Mus musculus: one gene and its partner. The protein of the gene in region 1 interacts with the protein of each later gene in a biochemical or structural test. Links are inferred from orthologs where the notes say so. Each region holds a gene or a part of one and is shown on either strand. Other genes may lie near its edges.

Region 1 (2,672 bases):
AGATTCAGATAGAGATGGTATCAGGGAATATGGAGGCAGGATGAGGAGAGAGATGGACCAAGAGGAGATGATGAAAACCACGGTAAGAGTTTGCAAATGACCAGGCTGTAAGGGTTCAAGTTGGCTTGTCTAACCTTCTGGCTTTACTACTGGGAGAACTAACCAGGAACAGTGAGGTGTCTTACCCAACACCACACTGCTGCTTTGCAGCAGAGCTGAAAGCTAGAACCCAGATTAAAAAGAGGGACAGAAGGAGAGCCCAAAGTGATATTGCCCAGAAGAGAAAAGGGCCTGAGACACTATGGGAACTTGCTAAGGTAAATTGCTTGTAGTGGCGTGGGTTGTGGATAGTCAGCACTTTGGGAACCAAAGGAGCTTAGAATGCAGCAATGGATGTGATCAGGTTCCAACCTGCCATCTATTCAGTATCTGCCTGTAGGATCTGCCTTTACAGGGTCTTTGTGAAGCCCAGCCTAATATGCTTTTAAAATGCATAAAAGTCTTGACAAGTGCTTGCTTAAATCTTTGTTGAGTGTTGACCTTGGAAGAGAGAGGAGCCCTGGTTATGCTGGGTGGGACATGACCAAATGACCTTGTTGGGATAAAGGGTAAAGGTCCAGTGTCTCCTGGAGCCCATTCCTCCTCTGCCTCTGCTGCCTGCAGCTGATAAACCCCTTATCTGGCCCAGGCAGGGGAACCTAAAGTAAGGATGGGAGGAGAGGGAAGGGTTGCTATCACCGGCAGGCTTGGGGCCTATCTCAGAGAAGGGGAGGGGCTGTCTGACTAACACTTCCCACAACACACTCCTTGAGGATCTCTAAGCACTCACTTCTTGGGAAGAAAGGGCTGAAATACTAGGTGTGGTGGTACATGCCTTTAATTCCAGCACTTGGGAGGCAGAGGCAGTCGGATCTCTGTGAGCTAGAAGCCAGCCTGGTCTACATAGCAAGTTCTAGGACACAGCCAGGGACACATAGCGAGACCTTGTTTTAAAAAACAACAATGAAAGGGTTAGACCCTACGCTGAGGACACAAGAAGAAGGCAAGGGTGACTCTTGATGTTTTCTTCCAGAATGGAAAATGAAATTTCAATCCCCAAACCTGAGAAAGACTGGATTTTGTCTCTGGACAGGAATACCATTTTTAGGGAGTAAGAGAAGGCAACTTGCTGAGAAAAAGTAAGGATACCTACTCTGTGTCCAGAGGACTGACTATGGTCAGATCAGGTGAGGTAGAGAGTACTCCACTGAAGAAAAGAACATTACAGTTCATAGGGTGGTTGATGGCACCTGTGAGTCACTGACAACGCTCCTTTCTCCTGGAAATTCTGCACGAGGACAACCTCTGACTTGGTGGGAGCAACTCTAATACCTTTCTTTCTTCAACACAGGTTGCAGGAATCCTTTGTGCTTGTGGAGACCTGGGGCCATCAGCTGGCACAGTAGGATGCCCCCGTGTCCTCCTCAGCAGAACAGGAACAGGTTATCACAGCTGCCTGTTGGGGAGCTTGGAGAGATGGAACTGACTTGGCAAGAGATCATGTCCATTACTGAGCTGCAGGTGAGTAGGGGGTGGGCTCTTGCCTGGCCAGAAGCAGAGAGTAGGGGGGCAATGAGGAACACCAGGGGGAAGGGAAGACTCTGGCTGGGGTTGTAGGCTTCTGTCCAGCTGCTCTGCTTACATCTCTCTCTACCATTCTCTGCTCTACTCCTCCCTTTTATCTTCTCATCTGATCCGATTCTCTTCCAGCTCTGTCCATCTTCCCTCATTACCACTCCTCGTCCTTAGCAACAAACTCTTTTTCTCCAGGTAGCAGAGCCTTAGTTAAAGGGCCTCAGAAAGGGGAGATAGACTGTGCTGGGGTCCTCTCCTCCTGAATGTAGGACAAAGGGGTGTCTGTTGGTCTAACAATGGTGCCTTTGTCCTCAGCTAGGCTTGAGCAGGATAGCTCCACTAAGTAAGTTGGGGGCCTTGTTTGTAATATGTGTTCTCCTCCTCACTGCACCTGGGACTGGACAGAGAGTGAACCCTCAGCTTGGGCTCTGTGCCTGCTTCCACCTCAGGATCTGCCCTTAGACCCTCCCTCCACACACTGGCTCCCTCTGCTGGGCACCCAGGGAATGGCAAAGTCCTGAACTTGACCCTTTGACTCTAGATAGCCACAGCAGAAAAGGGTTCTGAGAGTCCATCTTGGATAATAATGACCTTGTCTTCCTGAAGAAAATAACGGAACAGGAGCCATTTGGCTTGAGGAGACTTTGTAACCAGTTCAATGTGAGGTTGTCTTCTGAGGTTTCAACAGTGACTTTTATTCCTGCTTAAACAGCCTTTTCCTCTTCACTACCCTTTTCCTTCTTTTTCCTGTCTTCCTCCCTTCCTCTCTTCCTCTCGATACAGGATTTCTTTCTTTATCTCTCTTTCTTTCTTTCTTTCTTTCTTTCTTTCTTTCTTTCTTTCTTTCTTTCTTTCTTTCTTTTTCTTTCTTTCTTTCTCTTTCTTTCTTTCTTTCTTTCTTTCTTTCTTTCTTTCTTTCTTTCTTTCATTCTTTCTTTCTCTGTCTCTCTTCCTTTCTTTCTTTCTTTTTTTTTCCCCAGAGACAGGGTTTCTCTGTATAGTCCTGGCTGTCTTGGAACTCACTCTGTAGACCAGGCTGGCCTCGAACTCAGAAATCC
Region 2 (4,589 bases), on another chromosome or scaffold:
CTATAGACTAAGACCCTATCTCATAACTAGAACAAGAACAAAGGGAGGGAGGATGAAGATAAGTAACAGAAACCCAGAGGTCTTGTCTCAGGGGTTTTATTGCCATGAAGAGACTCCATTCGGCAGCTCTTCTAAAGGAAAACATCTCATTGGGTCTGGCTTACGCTTTCAGAGGTTTAATCCATTATTGTCATGGAGAGTAGCAAGACTGAATCAGGGCCGACTTGCTGCTGGAGGATGGGCTTAGTTAGAGTTCTGCATTCTGAAGGCTGCAAGAAACTGTAAGTCACACACGGGCATAGCTTGAGTATATAAGACCTCAAAGCCTGTCCCCACAGAGACAATCGTCTTCCAACAAGACCACACCTCCTAATAGTGCCATTCCCTATGGGCCAAGCATTTAGACACGGCATTTAGAATTCATGCAGGCCATTTCTATTCAAACCACCACAAGGCATAAGGAGTAATTCTCTGTATTCTGAGACTCTGGCTACAGCCAGTGAAAGATAAAAGCTCCCCCCCCCCCACTCCCCAAAGAAATACAATGTAAAGAATTACTTTTTGAGGCTGGGTGTGGTGGCACATGTTTTTAATCCCAGCACTAGAGAGGCAGAGGCAGTCGGATCTCTGAGAGTTTGGGGCCAGCCTGGTCTAAACCTTGTCTCAAGAAACCAAATTTGACACAAAGGACACACACAGGCCCCCTCCAGCCTGCTTACCCCCTTTTCCTTGTCACCTATGTTACAGAACGAGTCACCTTTTCACGATTCCCAGAGAAGACAGGGTCAAATAGAACGTTCAGAACCTCGAAATGAAAACTTGATCCCTCCTACTTTCCTTCTTTTTTACTTTTTCAACAGCAGCGAGAAGTCTCACAGAAAAAGTAGCAGCAGAATGCACCCAAAGTAGTTTCAAATGCGGCAGAGAAGGGTTGGGCAAAGTGCACAACTCCTACAGTGCACGCACACTACCCGAAGAGATGGTCCACGGCCGCAGGTGAAGCCCCTAGCACCCTCCGGAGATTAGAATCATTAGTGAGCGTCCTCCAAGCCTTCGTGTCATCGTGGATAGTTTGGGGATCTGAGCTGGGGTTGGGGCTGTGCCCCTCAACAGCCGTGTCCTTTTCAGACTGCTGACCCATTTAGAATGAGGACGTCGCAGCAGAACGGGGTAAGGAACTAAATCACTGTGTCACACCTTCAAAACAGCAAATAGGTTCCCGCGTGGTGACGCTCATCTGTGAGTTCCGCTTTCAGGGGGCCGAGGCAGGAGCATCTCAGGGAATTGAAATCCAGTCTGCTCGCTGTACAGTGAAACTATGCATCCAAGTGAAGAAAATCAAACAAACCTCCCATAGACCTCGGTCTGAGTTGGTGTGGAGATCGGGAGGGAGCTAGAGGCATCCGAGTTGGGGCCACTCCGTAGAACCTGTCTCTGCAGGAGCACGGTCAACCCGGCGAGCGCCGGGACGACTCCCGCGAGACATTGCCAGGGCGCGGCGGGCGTTGCCAAGGGCAACGGCGCGGGGCTGCGCAGGCGTGATGGGGGCGCGCTCGCCTTGCTGCCGCCTCGCCTTTCCCTTTAAGCTTAGGCCAGCCGCGTCGCCGCTTCATGAATGGAACCCACGTGACCAAACATCATGTGACGTCTGAGGAGCGGCGGCGGCGGCGGATTCTGAGCCCGGTCCGGCCCGGCCTTCCCAGCGCGCTTGGCCCGGCCCGCGCAGGCGGCCAGTCCTCCTAAGCCCCCGGCCCGGACCCTTCGCGCCCGCCCCAGCCCCGCGCAGCCCCGGAGCGCGCGCGCGCGGCCCCGCCCCAGCCCCGCCTTGGCCCGCCCGGGCCCGCAGTGTGGTGAGTGCGCGGGGCTGGGGCGGGCGGCGGGGCCTGGCCTCGGGGTTGCGGCGCACCCGACGGCAGCGCGTGCCTTGGTTTCCCCGCCAGCCGGCTGTTCGCCTGTGTCCCCCTAGAGCCGGCGGACCGGGCGACCGCGAGGCTGGGGACGGGCGTGCGCGCGGCGGCGGACCCCGGGTGCCCTGCGGGGGGCGCGATTTAAGGGCGAGCTGCGCGCGTCTGCCCGGGTCAGCGGGGTGGCCGCACCGAGCTGCTGACTCATCAGGTGTCCGTCGGCTTCCGCGCGGGCGGGGTCGCGCGCGGGCCCACAGGGGAGGCGGCGGGGAGACCCTGCTGCGCGGCTTGGGCTCGCCACGCGGGTGCGAGCCCAGCGGAGACGTGCTGAGTCATCAGCATGAGGTCACTCGGTGCTCCTGCTGACGCTGGGCCAGGGCGGGGGGCCGGGGCCCGCTATCGGCCGGTCTAGTCGGGAGACAGGGCTCGATCCGGGTGGTGAAGGTCGGGCCGGGATCCGGGGTCGTGTTTAAGTTTGACAGACCTGTGAGTTGGAGGCAAAGGCTCCGAAGGAGGCATTGCAGGGGCGCGCCGCAGGTTTCTCCCGGGGTGGAAGGTAAAGCCCCGGGCGTGCGCATCCTTGCCTGGTTCTTGGGCTCCTGGCCCGGGTCCCACAACTGGGGCAGTTCCCCAAACCCGGAGACCGATCGGTGTACGCTGAGGGGAGGAGCTTAGGTGGGCCGAGCCAGCTCGTCTGGGAAGCAAGCTTTCCTTCTCTGTGACCCTGAATGGCCAGGCTTCGTCGGTCCTAGATGGGGAAGACCGGGAGGCAGGGGGAGAAGGGTCTGTGGCTTGAAAGAAGCTGGGGCAGCTCTAACCAGCTAAGGAGAGCAGAGTGTGGATCTAGGCAGCTGGTGAGAGTTTTTGAGGTGCAACCATGGAGTAGAAGATGTAGTTTTATTTATCCCAATGTTATTCCTTTCAGAAGAGTTTGGGGTCCCACTGTTGCCTGGAGTTACCAAAAAGTGTGTGTGCCCTGTTGGGTGTCTGGAGACTCTTGGGAGGTGACAGTTTTGTGGGGTGTGGCTGAATGGCTGTTTACTGACTTATCTGTCGTGAAGGTTCTTGAACTCCATCCTACTGCTTTCCTTGCCCAGGGATTCATGTCTAGACTGTGCTTACCTTGTGGTTTGTGCTAAGGGATGTCCCCTTAACCCTGAGCCCTGAGGCTGCTCATAGGTGCAGTGTTTTTTTCATTTGGTGTGGAACTTGCCCTATGAAACTTCAAGGTTCCAGAAAATTGTTAAACTCCGGAGGCACTGTGCTTCAGTGAACTTAATGTTTTCCGTTCTCTTCAAACAATGTCAGTACCTGAAGGAGAGAAGACCTACGTAGGGGGTCTCCTGCATTGAGGTTTACAGGCAAGGTTTAGCAAGGAAGGGTCACTATCTTGCTTGAGACTAATGTCCAGATTGTCTAGTGTGAGAGGACAGAGGTGCCCAAACCCCTTCTTTAAGGGTCAGCCTGAATGAGTGGTCCAGAGCCCCTTGGTGTCTTGAGTCTGTCCATAACTGTGAGTACTTGGAGGGCTGAGTTGGAGGCAGCAGGTCCAGATCAGCTTCTCTGAGCTTCTTCCTCAGGCTCTGGAAAGCTCTCTAAACTGTATCCCTCAGCACAGCTGTCCCCCCCAGAACTGTCTGCCTAGTCACTGTGTCCCTAGGTTTGCAGAAGCCAGGCAGGTAGCTGGAAGAATTGGCTTTCCTGAGACCTGCCCTTCCCCCTTAAGCACACATGCGTATAAACATGTACACACACTCGCTCTAACACACACACATTCTCTCTCTCTCTCTCTCTCTCTCTCTCTCTCTCTCTCTCTCTCTCTCTCTCTCTCTCTCTCTCTCTCTCTCTCTCGTGCACCTTTGATCAGGAGGCAGTTGGCTGCACTTGTGCTGAGTTCAGGCCTTTGGTGGAGGTAAAATCTGTTGAGAAGGCACTTTTCAGCTCCCAGCCGCCACACTCTGCACTTTCCTGTGCGATCTCAGGAAGTCACCGTTTTGAGCTCAGCAGTCTGTATAAGGGAAGCTCCTGCCAGGACTGTCCCCTCACCTCGACTTATGCTCCTAGTGTGAGTATAGGGCCAACTTGTAAGAAAGACAGATGCCCTTCAGACCTCTAGATCTGAGTTCTGCCTTTCTCTTTGATCTAGCAGTACTGTTGCCTCTGAAAATGCTCCTAATCTAGTCCTGTAGATTTAGTCCTGGTTTGCTTGCTCAGTGTTTGCATGTAGCCACACCTCCTGTTCAAAGCTAAAAGCAGTAGGGTAAAGCTAATGAGAATGTGTTAGTTCCTTTGATAAGATGAACCAACTCCCCATCCAGCACATTTTTGCCTGAAGTGCTCACAGACCTGCAGCAACCTCACTTCCCTCATTTCCCTGCACCTAACCTGGAAAGGAGAGGATGTGCCTGTGGGACTGGTGGGTGTTGGGCTAAGTGGGGATTCCCAGCCTAGGTACACAAGAATGTCCTTGGCAAGGCTTTAGAAAGCTGAAAATGAGGTTGAGCCCGGAGGGGCGGCTGACTGTAGGAGGGACCTGTTTTGCTTTTGTTCCCTGGCCCTGTGGTCACTGACCCTAGGCAGAGAGCCAAAGACCAGTCAGTGACCTGAAGGGGCTGGCTCTTGCCTGCTTCCAGCTAACAGTGCTCTTCCTCTGCTAATTGTGGGAGCCCTTGTGAAACACCCTGT

The links.
Region 2: the proteins of Nfe2 (region 1) and Mafg form a complex in vitro, tested with the Homo sapiens proteins (2 studies listed by BioGRID and IntAct, with this or other methods). The link is inferred for Mus musculus from reciprocal best matches to the Homo sapiens genes NFE2 and MAFG.

What each region holds. Positions count from the first base shown.
Region 1 is NC_000081.6:103,249,817-103,252,488, reverse strand, and holds part of Nfe2 (transcription factor NF-E2 45 kDa subunit), read left to right. Parts: exon of another isoform or gene 1-82; intron 83-735; exon of another isoform or gene 736-1,002; coding exon of another isoform or gene 1,003-1,042; exon of another isoform or gene 1,043-1,291; intron 1,292-1,390; coding exon of another isoform or gene 1,391-1,446; coding exon 1,447-1,560; intron 1,561-2,672. UniProt on the Homo sapiens protein: Component of the NF-E2 complex essential for regulating erythroid and megakaryocytic maturation and differentiation. Binds to the hypersensitive site 2 (HS2) of the beta-globin control region (LCR).
Region 2 is NC_000077.6:120,630,623-120,635,211, reverse strand, and holds the start of Mafg (transcription factor MafG), read left to right. Parts: upstream 1-1,664; 5' UTR 1,665-1,850; exon of another isoform or gene 1,851-4,589. UniProt on the Homo sapiens protein: Since they lack a putative transactivation domain, the small Mafs behave as transcriptional repressors when they dimerize among themselves.